Drosophila melanogaster: one gene and its partners. The gene in region 2 interacts genetically with the main gene of each other region. Each region holds a gene or a part of one and is shown on either strand. Other genes may lie near its edges.

Region 1 (5,379 bases), on a different chromosome or scaffold from region 2:
GCGCCTACAGCATTTTTCCTTTCCACACGAAATCTTAATACGCTTTTATTTTTCCGTTTTCTTTGATTGCTGCTTCGTAAACAGTGTGGCAGCAGGGTGGAAAAATACTGCCAACGAGGTGGGAGCGCTTCGAGTATATACCAGAAATACACAACATATGGAAATAACGGCCTATTGGCTACAGTGAATACAAGATACATTTACATTTTTTTATTTGTGTATTTCGCTATTTGTAAAAAAAGCGAGAATTTAATTGAGAAAACGAGTATCTTTTATTTCTGAAATAAGCACTATGCTGTTTCAACAATATCTCTGTTAATTCCAGACTATCTGGCTGATAAATGTTTCCCAGTCACGATCGATAGTGTGGGGATGGATTGAAGTTAATGACAAGTTTTATTTATTTTGTACGAAGTCACACCTAGCTCTTATCTTATGTACTCCCACCTAAGCCTTGGGCACCACTGAACTGCTATTGGGGGACACCAGCTCATCGCCGCCTCCGTTGTTGCCCACATCCGCCAGCGGATCCGCGTTCTGGCCACCAACTGAACCGGCATCCGTGTCCAAGGCCTCGCTCAAGCCATCATCGTCGTCGTCATCACCGCCAGATTTGTTGTACACGGTGGGGTACTTCTGGAAACAGTCGCGCATCTTGGTGAAGGCATCGTAGCAGTCCGATCCCTTGGGATCGGCGGTGCTGTTCTGGAAGCAGGAAAATGCCTCACGGAAATCGACGCCACAGGGACCGGTGGCCATGCCGCCGAGGCAGGGACAACTCCAGTTGATCTTGCCGTCCTTGGTGATCACGCCCTCCGGCTTTTCCGGCGGCGGCAGCTCGATGGTGCTGGGCGTGGCATGGTCCTCCTTGGTCACAAAAATCACCTTGTCCTTGCCGTACTCCTTGCAGTAAGAGAATGACATCCTGATGCGGTAATGCTAGTTAAATGCTACAAACTCCTCGGGGGATTCCTCAAAATCCAAGGGCTTTCGGGATGTGCTGAGCACCTGAAAATGGCAGGGCACCTCCTGGTAGTATCCTATTAGGGCTATAGCTACGCGAACGCGATCCAGGACGTTCTCGGGCACCCGGAGAATGGAGCGTTTTTGGCTGGAACTAAATTTCACAATTTCCAGTATGGTCTGGCCACCTATTTCGCCAAAAATACTAGCCAAGGAGCTATGGATGCAGCCACAGAAGAATACGGGCGTCAGAGTCACGGAGTCTGGATCACGGAGTTTTCTGGCGATTAAAAACGTGAATTATCTTAATTATATTTGCATGATGCACGTGCGCACGTGGGAAATACGGGGCTTTAAGGAGCGGGGCTGAGTGCCCGGAACTCACATCTTCACGTCCAGATATTGGTAACCACTCATGCTTTGGGTGCAAGTGCCAGTGCCCCTCTTTTTTTGGCGGAATCTTCGGGAAAAGTCGTCCAAAAGTTGCCGGTCAGTGTGTTTTTTTTATGTAATTACTCCCCTTTTTTGCTGTTTCTTTCTGCTTCTCAAACAGCTGTGCGCCGCCAGAGATGCCAGCTCGGCTCACAACGGACATGAGTAGTTATAAAATAGCTAAAATTATAGCCATTTATTAAAACATTTAAATTGTTATTGGAACTACTTAAATGCAATTTTATTAAAATGGTTACAAGTTTATGGGGTTTTTCCGCTTTTTAATCTCATTTAGTAGCCATCACAGAAATCATTTCAGTTCGTTGTGAATGACAAAAAAATCAGATCACAGTAAAATCAGTTAGGATTCAAATTCAAATTCTTCATGACGGTTATAATGTATATTACACTGAGTATTACAATTCGCTAGTCCTAATCATCGGACACAACCGCGACAGTCTTTTCAATGCTCTTCTCAAAGTCCAGCGATGATTTGGATGTTTCCAAGATCTCAAAATGACAGGGTATCTGCTGGTAGTGACCGATGAGCTCAATGGATATGCGGGTCATGTCGTGCAGTTGCTCTGGCACTCGAAAGATAACACGATGTTGCTGGGCGCAGAACTTCACGATCTCCAGTGTGGGTTTCTCCTCGCAGAAGAAACTGTCCAGGGCGTCAAGAACGCAGCTTCGAAACAGAGATGGGGTCAAAGCAACTGCAGTCGGATCCCGAAGTTTACTATTAAATAAATGAATATATTTACTGAATTTAATAACAACCAAGTTTATATTAATGACCGCAGAACATCATTCTACTCACAGTTTGATGTCGAAATAGTAATAGTTCGCCATGGTGATCTTGCGCGTTCCTTTTAAGCGGGATCCTCTGTAGTGATAGAGTTTTGTGCGTTCGGGGCGATTGGCAAACTGATTTTGCAGTGAATTGCGCGCCGCGCAGTCTTTGTCGAAATTCTCTCACGCAAGACGTGCAATTTAAATAACGAAACTCGAAACAACAAATAGTCAAATTTAACTTCGAAACTGTCAAATGGAGAAGCTAACGAATGTTCAGGCACAGCAGGAAGAGGAGGAGGAAGAAGGTCCACTCAGCGTGACTAAGTTAATAGTGAGTAGGCTGCGATCTCGACCAGGATTATTATGGGCATTCCCTACGATATCCTCCTCCTAGGGCGGCAGCATCACGGCCAAGGACATCAAGCTGCTCCAGCAGGCCAGTCTGCACACCGTGGAGTCGGTGGCCAATGCCACCAAGAAGCAACTGATGGCCATTCCCGGCTTGGGCGGCGGCAAGGTGGAGCAGATCATCACGGAGGCTAACAAACTGGTGCCTCTGGGCTTCCTTAGTGCTCGCACCTTCTATCAAATGCGTGCCGATGTCGTGCAGCTGAGCACGGGCTCCAAGGAGCTGGATAAACTGCTGGGCGGCGGCATTGAGACGGGATCCATTACCGAGATCTTTGGCGAGTTCCGCTGCGGAAAGACCCAATTGTGCCACACTCTGGCAGTAACCTGCCAGCTGCCCATCAGCCAGAAGGGCGGCGAGGGCAAGTGCATGTACATCGACACGGAGAACACCTTCCGTCCGGAGCGTTTGGCTGCCATCGCGCAAAGGTACAAACTGAATGAATCCGAGGTGCTGGACAATGTGGCCTTCACCCGTGCCCACAACTCAGATCAGCAGACCAAGCTCATCCAGATGGCGGCGGGCATGCTCTTTGAGTCCAGATACGCTTTGCTGATTGTGGACAGTGCCATGGCGCTCTACAGATCCGATTATATTGGTCGCGGGGAGCTGGCCGCCAGGCAAAACCATTTGGGCTTATTTCTGCGCATGCTTCAACGCCTGGCCGATGAGTTCGGAGTGGCTGTGGTAATTACTAACCAGGTTACTGCCTCGCTGGACGGCGCACCCGGCATGTTTGATGCCAAGAAGCCCATTGGCGGGCACATCATGGCCCACTCCTCAACCACGCGGCTGTATCTGCGCAAGGGTAAAGGCGAAACCCGCATCTGCAAGATCTACGACTCGCCCTGTTTGCCGGAATCGGAGGCCATGTTCGCCATTCTGCCGGATGGAATAGGAGACGCCAGGGAGAGCTAATTGTGCTCACTTATAGGTTAATTAATGCTAGGAATAGAGCTCCCTAACTTTCTAATGATTACTTATCCCTAGACTAAGAATTAAACTTCGTAGATTGTTTTTTTTTTTGTTTTAATGTTTACTTAGAATGTTTAGGATAACGACGAAATAAAACAGCCGTTGCGAATTGTATGTACCATCTATATTTAATTCAATATTATTCAAATCATCTACAAACTTAGAAAATATTTAGGGGTTTCGAAGCAAAAACCTTTTTTTTAGTCTGGTAATAAGCGGATGCAGCAGGAAAAGCCCCATCAGCGCAGCGTAACACGACATGCACCTGGCAGGCAAACAGAATTAAGGAATTTAGCTGAATTTTTAACCTAGAATTAAGCATAGCCCACTTGGCTCATCAAAACTTTGTCATCCAAAGCACGGTCTTTAAGTTGCCTGGTTTGTAACGCTTACGAGTAACTGCAAGAAAGAGGATTCTTGAAGATGTGTTTCAACTCAGCGGTTTGCGGTTTCCCATCCTACCTTATCATGTAATTGGTCCAGCAGAACTGGTCCTCGATCATTTACTGTGGAGCCGATCCGGCTGAAGCGGCGGCCTCCTTGGCCAAAACCAGGCTATTATATCCGCGCTCGTTCATCCCGACGCGAAGGTTTTCGTTGATATTTTTCGTATAGGTCTTGTAGATTTTTACCTTTTCGCAGAAGTCGATCCAAAAGTTGTCCTCGCTCTCGGGCTCCGGATTGAAGAGACTCTTGAAGCCATCGTATATGCCAGAGGAGACCTTGCGTATGGTCTGCGCCCTCTCCTTGAACTCCACCTCGTCGGACAGGTCCATTTTCCAGAGCTCCAGATTGCCCACATACCGGCGAAGTCGGCGCATTATGTCCACGCACTCCGGATTGCGCAGCAGCATCAACTTGGTGAACTCCACCTCCTTGAACTGCTCGAGGATCTCCAGGCATTTGCCCACATTGGCGCGCCGCAGGCCCAAACATTCGCGCAGCTGCTGGGAAAGTTGGATGAAGTCTCGCTCCATGAAGAGGGCATCCTCGTGCTCAATGAGCTCCTCGATGAATCGCAAAGCCTCCTGCTTGGGTATTTCGCTGCGTGTTGGCTCCACCACGATCCTATCGGGCATGGACTCCGGATTGATTTGGCCGCTCTCTAGTTTCAGTTTGAGCTCCAAGGCTTCTTTGCGGGCGTTCTCCATCCAGGCTTCCTCGGCAGCGGCGCTTTCGAAACTCTCCGGCTTTTTGTAGTTTATAACGATTCCCAAACACTTGGCTGTGGGCATGTACACCATGAGCATCTCGTTCCGGATGTTCTGTTTGGGCAAAAATGGAAATCAATGTATCGTAATTCATACTAGTTTATGTCTGGTGGTATTTCTGCATCGCACTTACATTGACTGGCCGCGACCGCTTCTGAATCGGAGTTACTGCAGCCGTGGGCTTGGATTTCTTCACTGATTTCTTGCTGGAGGTGGGGGTCGCCGCAGCCGGAGCAGCGGGGATGGCTGCGGCGGTAGCCAGACCCTCGGTGGGAACCCTTCGCTTGGCCGGCGGAGGTGCTAGTTCCGCGCCTGCTTCACTATCCCCGTCCACATGGCGCGGTGGTGCCTTGGTCTTCCGGGTGCCGCTCTTCTTGGGCTTCTCGGCCGCTGCTGCGACTGGTGCAGCAGTGGCTGGCTCCGGTCCCGGCTCCGGCTTGGGCTCCTCCGTCTTGACGCCATCACCAGTTGTGGGCGGAGCAACTGGCTCCGCGCCGTCGAGCAAATCAATGGGCGCCGAGTCCTCGCCGCGCAAGGCGCTCTCGATCTGATCGATGGCCTCGATGAACTTGGCCCGCTTCATGATCTTCTCGG
Region 2 (7,591 bases):
TACAGCGTGTGGAGTTACATTAGATATATGTATATGTTATGTATATACGTGGAGTGGGTGCTTCACTTGTTAATAGGGGTTACATCAATTGTATTTTTTCCGTTTTTCCATTTTGTTTTTTGTTCTTTTTTTGTTTGTTTTCGTTTTGCTTTGTTTCTTGGTTTAGTTTGGTTTTAATACATATATATTAGGTAAGTGTAAATATTCATATGTTGCCCAGGACTGAGCTGGGCGTAGCTCTAGTTGCGATCGCACGATCTAGACTTAATGCCAAGGGGCCAGTGTGAAAGTTGGCCTTGTGTGGGTAAATACATTTCGAAATACGTGTGTGTACGCAATGTGTTCTTTAGGCGAGAAGCTGACAGCAAAGCCCCTGCTCACTAAATTCAACAGTAAAGACAAACATCTAATTCCAAAAAAACGCTAGTGAGTGCTAAGAAATTGTTGTCCTAATGCCTAGAAAATCCTTTCGGTTGAGAGCTCGTTTTCTGCCTCTCCCTCCCTTTGTTTCTGCCCTGTGTTCTTTCTATAAATTTCAACTGTGTTGCAAGACTTTTGCCTACATCTAAGTGTATATGCGAAGGAGCTGCCTCCCGTCCGTCTGCTGCCTGAATGTCCGCCTAGCTGCTCGATACAATTTCTCGTAAATATCTATATAGGTTTATATATGGGTGTGTATTGTATGTGTGTGGGTTCCAAGTCAACTCCTAGCGATGTCCTTGGATCAGCTGCCGCCGCCGAAGCCTTAGTAGTAGAATATCTGGCCGGCCTTCTGCCGCTTGCGCTCCTCCAGCTTGCGATTGATCTCCTGCTGCCGCTCGGCCTTGCTGAGGGCTCTTGCCACGTACAAGAACTTGTTGTCGCCCAGCTGCTTGCCGTGCAGGCCAATTACGGCGGCCAGCGCCGACTGTGGGTTCTCGTAGGCGACGAAACCGAAACGCCGGGAGCGCCCCTCCTCGTCCAGCATGAGCTGCAAGGATCGGAGAAAGCAAATCGATGATATAAACAAATTAGCACAGATGGGCCAGGTGGAGTCCTCATCTTCCCCGCCGTCACAAACTCCTCGTGGCTACATGGGCATGCGCAGCAATGGCGCAAGAGAGGACTTAAGAGAGTGCAAAACTGTGCCACATGGTTGTCGTCCAACCACCCGGCCCCACGAACATCCCCGTAGGGAAGATGAGGTGACCAAACAACGTACCTTGTGACTGGTGATGCGGCCGTAGGGCTCGAACATCTCGCGCAAATGCTGCTCGGTGAACTCCTCGCTGAGGTTCTTCACATACAGATTCTTGAAGTGCGTGGCCTTCTCCTGCTCCCGGTCCCGCCGTGGTATGAACTTGACCACATGCACCTTCTGATTATTGCACAGCATCCCATTCACCTTCTCGATGGCCGCTCGGGCGGCCTCCTCCGAATCGAAATGCACAAACCCATAGCCGCGTGAATTGCCATCCTCGTCTTTGGCCACATTGCAGTTTAGGATGTTTCCGAACACCGAGAACGTGTCGTACACCGCCTTGTTGTCGATGGACCGCTCCAGGTTCTTGATATAGATCTTGCCACTGTCCGGAGAGCTGTTGCCTCCGCTGCCCCCAGTGGAGCCGCTAGCCAGAGCTCCCCCGCCGACTCCCACGCCCACATTGGCCGAGTGCGAGGACGTGGACGTGTGCCCGCTGCCCAGGGAGTTGTGGCCATGCCGTCCGAGAACAGCGGCGGCCGCCAGGTGGTTACTGGCTGCGTGCCCACCGCCGACGTGGCTCAGGTGACCAGCTGCAGCGGCGTGGTGGTGCAGCTGCTGCTGGTGGTGCGCCGCTGCCAGCGTGTGGTGGTTCAGGGCCGGCTGCTGCTGGTGGTAGTTCGCCGGATTGCCGCGGAACGTCATGGAGTTGACGAACATAATGGCTGCTGGCTGTTTGTGGAGCGTGGTGGCGGCTAGTGGAGTGCTGTAGGTGCTGTAGGTGGATTCTGCGTCCTGGTGGCCGTGGCTCTGGATCTGGATACCGCTGTAGATGGGCCCGAGAATCTTGACGGCGTTCTTGTCCTGGTCCTAGTATTTCACTTCACTTCCCGATTTACCTGGGATGTCGGGAATCTGCGTTATGGCCAATCTAGTCGTAATCCAGCGGAATGCCCACTTACCAGGATTTGCACACGGAATATGACCAAGGATTCGCGGAGTTGAAAAAATCGTTTTTCTCTCGCACAGACTCTTTTCAACGCTCTTCGCTCTCTCTTTCTTTACCTCTCTGGCTCTTCCTTTCGCTCTTTTGTACTTTACTTTTTCTGGGGGCTTTCACTTTTGGGCTGATTCTTTGGGGCTCTGCTGGGCTTTCGCGTAACACTTTCCGGTATTGTTTTCGAGTGGCACCTAAACTAGACTCTTCAGCAATTGCAGCAGTGTAAAACCTGGTTTTTGCAGCTTCGGCGATGGCCCTTTATTATTTAATTGTATTTTATGCAAAAACTGTCGCTACTAGTGATTAGTGATGTTAAAAAACATCGATGCATCTGCCATCGATACGTGAGGCCTTCATGTTCTTGGCCATACCATCGATGACTTTCTCGCTCCCGATTGCTTAGCAAGTCCACCCTCCACAGTTAGCGGATAATGGCCATCAAAGCAACGCTTACCAACACTGCACCCCTTGTTTTGGAAATGCAACCACAAAAGCATTGGACACTTGCTTACTTCAAATAAAACACATTTAAACAATTAGATGACGTGATGGACCAGAATGGCGCATCGGGAAGTCATCCGAACAGGCTATCCCAAGGAAGAGGAGCCCATGCGCGCGAACGTGGCGCCACAGTTTCCGCGGCGGCAAATCGGAGTAACATTATCGACGAAATGGCCAAAATATGCGAAGCCGATCGCCAGACTTTCGCCATCGCTCGACGGACTCGGGGTCACGAGCGGCTTGCGGTGGACAACAGCGACTTCGTCGCCGTGGAGGATCTTATTTTGTCCTACGCAGAGCCCACGCCCGAGGACCAGGTCGAGATGATCATGAGCGACTTTTGCTCGTCTCCAACATACGCAGAGGATGAGGATGAGCCCAGCCATGAGTCGGAGCCGTGGTTTCGATTTCGCAACAAAAGGATCAGAACCTACAGCCGGAAGAGGGATCCCAAAAGCCACAAGGCCGTTCAAAACGAGAAGCGTAGAGGTTCCTCAGGCCTCTCCGTGCAGAGGGATCTCAATACTTCGTTCACATCTATGGCTTGTGATTTCGATGCTTCATCACAGAAGATACACGAGGTCCTTTTGAACCTCAGTCAATACTTTTCCGCGACCGCGACAGCTTCCGGTCCGACTCCTGTCCCATCGCAAATAGATCTGCCAACCGAAGCAAGGCAGGATTCTGGTGACGAGTGTTTCAACGCTGAATTGGAGAACTTGAGGGATGACCTGTTGCAGAGCGGATTTACATTTGAGGCCTCTTTCTATGAAAATGAGCATGAGCAGGAAGGTAGGGAGTGGGATCGATATGGCAAGAAACACATTTGTAACTCCTTTTATATGTACGTAGGTCCAGGAACTATGGCAGACACTATTTATGGCGATAGCATGCAATCGGTTCCCACTACGCGCCTCCGATTGGGTAATTCATATGCAATTTATGTTGTTGCGAAGTTCATTAATATAAACCCTTATTTATAGAAAGTGGAAAACGTAATGTTTGGTCTGATGCAGACTCTACATTGAAAAAAGCTGATGTCGAAATTGCTGAAAATAAGAAACTTTTGATGGGCCAAACGCAAGCAAAAAATGTTGACATAGAGGAGAACACAAACTTCATATTAGAAGGCATACCACTAAGTGAATGGCTAACTCCGATGGAACTGCCCGAGATCTCCAAAGATGTAATCAAACATATACCCGATAAAAAGTTAAAGTTGGAGCCAAGTTCCCAGAAAGAACAAAAAAGTAGCAAAGATTCAAATGCATCAAAGGTTAGAGGAGCCTCAAAACAATCTTGTGATATTAACACGAAAAACGAAGGAACTACTATTCTGGATCAGCCTAATGCTGCAGAGCAAGAAAACCTATTGAACGACGGCGAGCTTCTTGAGGAGTTTCTTTTTAATGATTGGCAACCAATGCAGTGCTCTAATGGCCCATCAACCTCCAAAAACGCAATTCAAGGGCCTAAAGAAAACATCAATTCAATAAATCTGGACGACAAGGAGCAACCAGAAAAGCAGACTCCTAATAAAAGTCAGACCATAAGCAGTCATCAACTTAATGGCATTCGAAAGAAGTCCTTCAAATTTATCGAGGTTTCGGAAGAAATGAAAATTAAAGGCGAAGAGTTTGTAGACAAAGTTGTATCCGGCCTATATCACTTTAGTCACAAGTGCAACTTACGTACTGAGGAATACTCCGATAATCATAGTCAAGTAATGGAATCAACACAGTGTGCGGAATTCAAATCAGCCCCAAGCAAGCCCATCGAAATATTGGATGGTAAGGAAACCTACAATGCAATAGCTAAAGTTGACGTTGGAGAAATAAATGGAAAATTCAGTCCTCTCAATAACGATACTATAGCAGAGCCCGAGTTTTGTGGCTTTCGCACAGCCTCAAATAAGGCAATTCCGATTTCTGAGAAGATGAAAATCAAAACTGCAGAGTTTATGGCTGAGTTTCAATCCAAAGAAACAATTCAACAAAATGATTATTTAGTCCATCAGCCAAATGACAAACCGACGTCTGTTGGACTTGATACAGCCTTAAAAAGATCAATAGAGAGTTCAGAGGAAATGCGATCGAAAGCTTCCAAGTTGGTGGTCGTTGATACTACAATGCGGGAACCGCATCAACCCACACTTGACCCAGTTTGCCGTGACTTAAATGAATCACAGTTTTTCGGCTTTAGAACAGCGTCAAACAAAGCCATTGAGATTACCGAGGCGATGGAGAAGAGAGGAGCCATGTTTCTGGCCCAGTCTAAAGCTACAGACCAATTAAACGGGTGGCAGCCAAGCGATTTTCCTGATGTTCTACCCACCTCTCCAAACAATGAGATTCATTCAATAAATGTTGAAAATAATAAGGCTGTGAATACTAAAACCGTATCTGAGACCGAATTCTTCGGCTTTCGTACCGCTTCAAATAAAGGAATTGTGATTTCGGAAAATACGAAAATCAAAGTTGCACAGTTCATGAGTGAATTTCAAGCCGCCGATGCAAGCACTGACTCGAACCAACCAACTGTGATCTCTGAGGAATCGAGAAATATTGATGCCAAGTTCGTAGATGAAGCGGCGGCAGAAGACAGTGCCAACAAGCCAACTTTTTGCAATGTACAAAGTCTAAAAAATACCTCAGATATTGAGCATTTCAAACACGACTTCTTCGTGGAGCATTCTGCAAAGGAAGAGCATCCGCTGTGTAGCCAGCCATTGGTGAGGACACCCAGAAGGTCGCAGGAGATCCACTCCTCACTATCGCAACTTGCCGGCAAATCACCACTGGACCAGGCCACCAAGAAGTCCGTAATAGCTCGCCGGAACCTCCTGTCACTAAAAAGAAAGCGAAAGATCATTTTGTCAACTGAAACTTCCACTTCCTGCGCCTTACCCACTATGGAGCGATTCGCTCCCAAGCCTTCCTCGACAAGTACTCCGCTGGCCGACAGGGACTTAAATCGCTCCAAGGACTGTACAAAGAATAGACAGGATGCGGAGGACATGTCCCCTATTTGCATGCAACCCAAAAAGAGTCGAAGACTTGGTCTGAGTCGAAGTCGCTATTAGTACACATTAAGTAAGCGTTGCTTTATACCCAAAATATTTAAACCGCTGGCCGATTTGAAATGGGTAGAGATTTAGTTGAATTAATTAAGGTATGCCATTAGTGGTCTCATCATGACAGATTGAATAATTGTATAAGTTATCATAATAAGCGTTTTTTGTTAAGTGCACCTTATAAGGAAATAAACGATCCGATAAGGGCCACCCGCTAACCAACTTCCTTAAAGGTGCCCACTTACGAGTTCCGCGAAAAAAACGAGAAGAGACGAAATCAGTCCCACAGTTCACAAAACAAATGCGAAAAAGTAGTAGTCCAGGTCGAATGCCTTAGCCGGCGGCTCATCATCGCGCATCAAGGTATAGATTCCCTGATGGATGAGCTCCCGGAAAGTGTCCGCCTTCATTTTGATGCTGATCCCGTGCTCCTGCAGGCGCCTCATGAACTCACTGGTCATCGCCAAGTACGGCAGACTGTTGGACACGCAGTAGGATTCGAGGGTAAAACCCACGGCCTGGCGAATCATGTTGAAGCGCGGCGTCTTCAGCAGGTACTGCTGCATCAGGATCAGCTCCAGGCGGTCCTCGTACAATATGTATATGTAGCTCTGATTGAGCCCATCCCGGTACGCCTTTAGCAGGGTGGCGTTCAAGCTCAAGCTGTTCCTGCGGAGCCGTTCGGGCAGGAAGGTTTTCGCCTTCATCTGACTTCTGTAGTACTCGTCGTGCAGACTGGGGTAGGGAGCCCTGGCCAGATCCTCCAGAGTGTTGTACTCCTCGTCGTACAGCCCGGATGTGAGGATGCTGGAGAGCGTGGCCAAGTAGACGTTGGTCAGTATAAAGCCTCCGATCGTTAGAATGCCATGGATGGCCACGTCCCTCCAGCCAGCAACTCTGATTTTCTGGTGGCAGTTGTATAGGATGTGGCTGAGGCTGTACAGCAAGCACTTTCCAATCTCGACTCGTGCTCCTCGCGCAGCCAGATGCAGCATTACGGTTCCGTACAAGACAGTCGAAATCACGACCGCCCAAAGGGTCCAGCCGAAGGGCTTGGAGTAGTACAGATAACTGGAAATCGGACGGGCGTGGGGAGCCATGAAGTACTCGCGGATAATCGAAAGTGGTGCTGTGTAGGCCACTTCCAAGCTGAAATCTTTGAAGTAGCAAACAATGTCGATCTTTTTTGTATGTAGCATTTCAGCAACGGCCAAGTATACATCATATTCCGGCAGATCGGGTATGGGTACACTCTCGATGGTGGCGTTATAGCGATAAGTCAGCTCCTTGACCGCTGTGAACAAATATCCTGCTCGCACCAAGCCACCCTGTTCGTTGGAGTACTCAAAGTCCCGAGGAGCTAATGTGCTTCGAAGTATGCGGACAGGAAAGCCTTGAAAGTTTCGAATTATCCTTGCGCGATCGAAATACTCGGACACATTTGATAGGCTGATCGGTTGAATGCTAGGATACGGTAGGTAGCTGTAGAGGCCCTTTCCGCTCATCAGAATTACATTTACGAATCCCTCCTTGAAGCAGTAGGTGTAGAGGTCCTGTTTCGGAAATCCTGGTTCCTCATTGCTCAGGAACACTATGTGCAGCTCATGGAGCTCGTCCAACAAGCGTGGCAGAAGACTGGCAACCAGTGGATTCAGATCTGAATCCATTACACTTACTATGATAAGGGTACTCTCTGTGAAGTTTCCCCGAATTCTAAGATCTCTAGCTTCCCTCGAGTTGGAGGAGAGTAAAATTCTCGGCGAGTCCAATTTGTGGAGTATCTCTGAGGTGGCGCAGCACTCAAAATCGATGAACACATTGAGCTCCGTTTGGAGAG
Region 3 (5,392 bases), on a different chromosome or scaffold from region 2:
CAACGAGAAGTCCTTCGATGCCCAAGTGCAAGTGAGTGAAGGCCTCTACAGGATTGGCGGCGGGGTAAATCTGCTAGCAACTAACCCAAAACAAAACCTAACAAACGCGTCTACTAACTTCACACTTAAGAGTAACGGTGACGGAACCCAAGAGCAGCCGCAACTGCCTCTGCAGCCTTTTGCCGTGTCCAACAACCACAGCCTCATACTAAACTCTGTTGAAAACTTTCAGATTGTGCCCAAATCGGTCAGTGAGAAGCAACAGCAGGAGGAGCCGCAACTATCCGGCGGTCCTGTTTCCCCGTTAAGTGCACCCCGCAAGAGCAGCACCCAAGCCTCAGTGGGCAGCGCTTCGGACAAGAAAGCCGGTGATGCCCCCAACGCATCTGTAGCCCCAAAAGTTAGTAGCAGCGGCCTTCCCCCGCTTGCAGTGCCACCAGCGAAGACTGAGCGCAAACTTCCCGAAAACGTGGCTCCCATTCCCGAGAACTTTGAAGACAAAGCGGATACTAAGGGCGACGCTGTCGATGTAGACAACGCCGCCGAAGACCTGCCGAAGAACGAGAACAACAATCGTTACGCCAACGCAGTAAATGATATGGAGGGCAACAAAAATGTAGGCGTAGCTCCCAAACCCATCGAGGATTCGGGCGCTCACGAAGTTAAGGATGCGTTAAACGAGCCTAGCTTTAATTTGCCCGCCGCTGGTGGCGGCCAGAATTTCTTCGATGGCGAATTGCCGGCACCTGGTCCCGGACCCGTTCCCGATGAAACGGCCAAACAGATGGCCGAGGCAGCCGGTGCCGGAGGAGGTGGCGACGGAGATGACGACGACGATGTGGGTGATGTGGCCGTGAAACAGCCACAGCATTTGCTCGATACAGACAATCTAAACAACGAAATCGTTGCTGACCAGGGTAAGGAGTTCGCCGAAGGCATCCACCTGGAAGACGGCATGGATGAAGATCAAGATGGTGAGTGGAAGTGCTCACAAATCGGAATAAATGCTTAACACTTTAACTTAAATTGCAGAGGACGACTATTCCAATGGTGGTGCAGCACGCAAGAAGGGAGGCGAGGTTATTAGACACTAAGTAAGATAATTTTCTATTAATATTGAGCGGCAAGTGTGCAAAGGCTTAGAAACCCCTTTATATTAAAGCCGTGCTCGGTAAGCCATAGATTCTAGGGTTAATCATAACGAAATGTCGCAAATCGATCATTGAAATTTGTACGTTAATTGAAGATTATAAATCAAAATCTATCCTGGCTTGAGCACGCCCTAAGCTATTTAGTTTGTAAGTTAAGTTCAACGTCATGACTACCATCATTTCGTTAATAGCAAATGAAGAACAAGAAATTAAAACTCGCAGGAAATACAATACTCTGAGATGGAGCTACGAACAAATGCAGACAGATTTAAAATGAAGACTGTTTCAGTTCTGCCTTGCAAATTATTAGTCCCGAATTAGCAGTAATCGAAATCGTTGCTAAATCCTTACAAGTTTCATTAACAAATATACTCTATATACTTGGTTTTCTGTGATAAAAATAAACGCTGCGCTGCATTTGGGCAATGTTGCCTGTTTTTTTTGTCGCTGCCTACACGTTTCACTTCTGCATTTGCAATTCCGTCAACCCATTTCGCTAGAGATTAGGTAGCTACATAAGATAGGAGTGTACGCTAGCATTCGAAAACACACACAAACTTTATTGCTAATGATAATAATAAACTTAATTGATAAATGTTAATTTCTCGTATCTATATAAATGAAAATTTATGATGCCATAATTAAATTACGCGGGGAGCCCTAAACTAAAAATGTAATTAAAAGGAATTAACTGAAAATTAAACAAGAATGTGTTCACTGCGTGTGCGCCAGGATCCAAGGATGCACCATCACCTGATCCAGCGGTAGGCGGTGCTGCGGATTAAGGACCAGCAGCTTGGAAATGAGATGGGATGCTGCCTTGGAAATGTGCTCCGGCAGTTTGTAGTCCACCTTGAGAATCTTCTTGTAGGTCTCGTCATAGTTCTTCGAGTAGAAGGGAGCGTGGCCCACTAGCAGCTCAAAGCAGAGCACACCCAGGCTCCATAGATCCACGTTTTTCGTGTGCGGCTTGCCCTGAACCATTTCGGGTGGCAAGTAGTCGACAGTGCCGCACAGTGTCATGCGCATGGAGTTCGGCTCGTGCACGGACCAACCGAAGTCGGCGATCTTCAGGACGCCCTTGTGCCCGAGCAGCAAGTTCTCCGGCTTGATGTCCCTGTGTATGATGTCCCGCTCATGCAGATAGAGCAGCGCCGAGCACAACGCCTGAATATAGGTGGCCGACTGGCGTTCATCGAAACGTTTCATCGGCTGTGCCTGCAAGGCGTTGAAAAGCGTTCCTTGTGGCGCATACTCCAAGATCAGATATATGCGCACGTCGTCGTGAAAGTAGGCATACAGACGCAGGATATGCGGATGACGTAGGTGCGATTGTATCTCGATCTCACGACGCACCTGGTGCTCCACATTGGACTCGCCAATCTGGCGCTTAAAGAGCACTTTTAGGGCCACCACGAACTGGGATTCCTTTTCCCGCGCCAAATAAACGTTGCCAAACTTGCCCCGTCCCAGCAGGCGACCAATATCAAAGTTGTTGAGCTCCCAGGTCTTCTTCGGCTTCTGGGGCTGGGTTTCTGCAGAAAATTACAATTGAGTTTGGTAATTGCAAAAGATTACAGCTGAACCATTAACCCACCAGTCTTGGTTTTCTCTTTTTCAGCGGAGCTGCTGGCCGCACCCAGTTCCTTGGAGGATTCAGAGCTCGCAGCAGTGGGTTTCTGCTTGGAAAGTGACTCAGGCTTCTTGATAGGTGCTACTGGAGCCGGAGCAGCAAACTCTGATGTGGTCTTCTTCACGGACGGCACCATGGGTTTTTGGAAGTTGTTTCCTTCGGAGGAAGCTATGGAATTGGAGCCTCCTAGGCCTGGCTTCCTGATCAAAGCGCCAGAGGATCCTGGCAAGGGTTTGCTAGCTGGAGCCATATTCTCGCTGTTGGGCTGTATCACAATGGTACCAAATAAGAGTTTCAGCTGCACTCCAGAGATTTACCACTTAACGTACCTTCTTTCCCAATAGCAAGTTCTTTTGCATATTGTGCACTGCAGCTGATTTTTCTGGCATTCTGTGCGGAGCATTTTCCTTGGGACGCAGCACATGGTCAGACGGATGGGACATGACGGCACAGGCACTCGACAACTAACAGAACAGATTACAATTTTGGTCAGTTAACAATGAAAGCCGATATTGGGTAAAACATTCACGACTCCCGGGATCCTGTGAAAATAAAATGCCGTTCGTTTGAATTGTGAAGCGGGCGTGTGCGTGATGAGGCGAATGGCAAGTGTGCGATACTATCGGTTGGTTGAAGAATATCGTGACTTTGTAGTGTTAGAAAATGTTATATTGTGTATTATTTCAATTTGAAATCAAGAGAATTATTGAATAGTGCTCTAAACTTTGGCATTTATGTTATTTTAACCTTAATTTCTATCTCTATACAAATACATCTATCAAAGCGTCTTAATTTTGAAAATATGTTAATTCGTCGCACTTTATTTTGATTAACCGGACGATAGACTATCGGAAGATATTTATAAATATCGTTAATTGTGTACATCTCAATTCCAATATTTTTTATTTCTGGTGACTGTGAACCAGAACAGCTGTGATTTTATCGGGCATCTCTGAACATCAGGTGTTATTAACAAGCAAAGTTTTTATTGGAATTCGTCGTTTATGATATGATGCCGAATCATGGACACACCGGAGATCCACGTAAATATAAGCTCGCAGACTTGCCGCGTCTGCCTGGAGACGCACGAGACCAATCTGTATGTCCACGATGAAATCAAATACAACGACCTTAAGTTGGAGCTCTGGCAGTTGTTGGAGGCAGTTTCCAAATTGAAGGTAAAGAGCTACAATTTCAAGAAACTTCGAAAAATAAGTTCAATTATTTCCAGTGGACATGGACGGACCCAAATCTGCCTATGCATCTGTGTCAAAATTGCGCCCGCCGGCTGATCGGCGCCTATGAGTTCATCGTCGAAGTGGAAAACGCCCATGAAACTTTACAGAATCTCTTCGAGCAACAGGAAGTTGCTGCCAAGCCGGATGAAGTTCATGTGGATGTCGTGGAGCTTATAGACCAAGACGATGTGGTCAGTATGGCACAATACCTGTCCACGTCTTTTGCCGAACAGCACGTGGAAATGGAGGAGAAGTATGGAGACCAAGACTGTTCAGCTTTTACTTCAGATGTGGGCGAAGAGCCACTCTATGCGAGCGAGGATCGTGATGATGAGCCTGAAGACTCCTTTCAGCTGAAGCCTCGGCCAGATGAAATAGAAAACAGAGAATTGTCGCGACCTTCCCAGCTGGGCAGTCGTTTGAACCATTCGGCGAACTTCATCTACAAGTGCGCCGTCTGTCCGCGTGTCTTTGCCAAAAGTGAATCTCTGACTCGTCATTTTTCCCAAGCCCACAAACTGACAGCGGACGTGGCCGCCATGAAGCTGGCCAACGAGAGCTGCGGCACCGGTCTGCTAACCTGTGAGCACTGTCCGCGGACATTCAAGCGTCAGGACACACTCCGGCGACACATGCAGGCATTCCATCCCGACGCAATCGCATTGGAACCCGAAGAAACGACGGACAATTCCGCCCGAAAACGCATAGCTAAGCGGCGAGACTGTCCGCACTGTGGCCTGAGCTTTCCCGTATCTAGCCTTACCATCCACATTCGGCGACATACGGGCGATAATCCGTACAAGTGCGATCAATGCGAGAAGGCCTTTCCGCGCAGCCAAGATCTTAGTCTTCACATGCGTCAGCACACCGGCGAGCGTCCCAGTGAGTGCAAGATCTGCTCCAAGAAGTTTATTTCGCAGAACAAGCTGGCGCGACACATGCGATTGCACACGGGTCAAAGGCCGTACTCCTGCAAAATGTGCAGCAAGAGCTTTGTGCAGTCCAACGACCTTAAGATCCATATGCGGCGCCACACGGGCGAGCGACCATATCAGTGTGGAGTGTGCGGCGAGAGCTTTGTGTGCGGTTCGCACCTGAATATCCATCGTAACCGAAAGGGACATCTGATTGCTGTGATTCCGGGCAATGAAGTAGAGGCAAATTTTGCTGCTGATCCTTATGTAAATGCTAGGGTCAACCAGCGCCGTTCGGAGGATATAGAGCGTATGCGCCTGCAACGCATTCCCGAAAACCAATTGCAACAGAGACTGGAAAATCTCCCCAAACCGGATGTCCCGGCTATGTGCTACAAATGCGGTGTCTGCGAACAGAAATTCAAAAGTGGAGCTCTCCTGACCGTCCATCGCAAT

What was found. A genetic interaction does not mean that the proteins touch.
Region 1: of Brca2 (region 2) and spn-A, changing one suppresses a phenotype caused by changing the other (phenotypic suppression), as found in Drosophila melanogaster (one study listed by BioGRID).
Region 3: of Brca2 (region 2) and aurA, changing one enhances a phenotype caused by changing the other (phenotypic enhancement), as found in Drosophila melanogaster (one study listed by BioGRID).

What each region holds. Positions count from the first base shown.
Region 1 is NT_033777.3:30,053,004-30,058,382, reverse strand, and holds spn-A (spindle A), read left to right. Parts: upstream 1-2,345; 5' UTR 2,346-2,443; coding exon 2,444-2,521; exon of another isoform or gene 2,522-2,584; coding exon 2,585-3,517; 3' UTR 3,518-3,687; downstream 3,688-5,379. Other genes in the region: CG7950 (uncharacterized protein), read right to left, coding at 448-924; Rpp14a (ribonuclease P/MRP subunit p14 a), read right to left, coding at 940-1,243, 1,349-1,380; Rpp14b (ribonuclease P/MRP subunit p14 b), read right to left, coding at 1,828-2,134, 2,216-2,247; Jasper (JIL-1 anchoring and stabilizing protein), read right to left, coding at 4,078-4,839, 4,919-5,379. UniProt on the Drosophila melanogaster protein: Plays an important role in homologous strand exchange, a key step in DNA repair through homologous recombination (HR). Binds to single and double-stranded DNA and exhibits DNA-dependent ATPase activity. Underwinds duplex DNA.
Region 2 is NT_033778.4:24,523,573-24,531,163, forward strand, and holds Brca2 (BRCA2, DNA repair associated), read left to right. Parts: upstream 1-2,599; 5' UTR 2,600-2,728; coding exon 2,729-3,473; intron 3,474-3,533; coding exon 3,534-3,605; intron 3,606-3,664; coding exon 3,665-5,763; 3' UTR 5,764-5,981; downstream 5,982-7,591. Other genes in the region: CG4612 (uncharacterized protein), read right to left, coding at 746-970, 1,202-1,900. UniProt on the Drosophila melanogaster protein: Involved in and required for double-strand break repair by meiotic and mitotic homologous recombination. During meiosis, has a dual role in the repair of meiotic double-stranded breaks and the efficient activation of the meiotic recombination checkpoint.
Region 3 is NT_033777.3:11,961,127-11,966,518, reverse strand, and holds aurA (aurora A), read right to left. Parts: upstream 3,396-5,392; 5' UTR 3,228-3,395; coding exon 3,114-3,227; intron 3,050-3,113; coding exon 2,749-3,049; intron 2,687-2,748; coding exon 1,866-2,686; 3' UTR 1,693-1,865; downstream 1-1,692. Other genes in the region: CG12213 (uncharacterized protein), read left to right, coding at 1-974, 1,033-1,094; CG3281 (uncharacterized protein), read left to right, coding at 3,807-3,962, 4,016-5,392.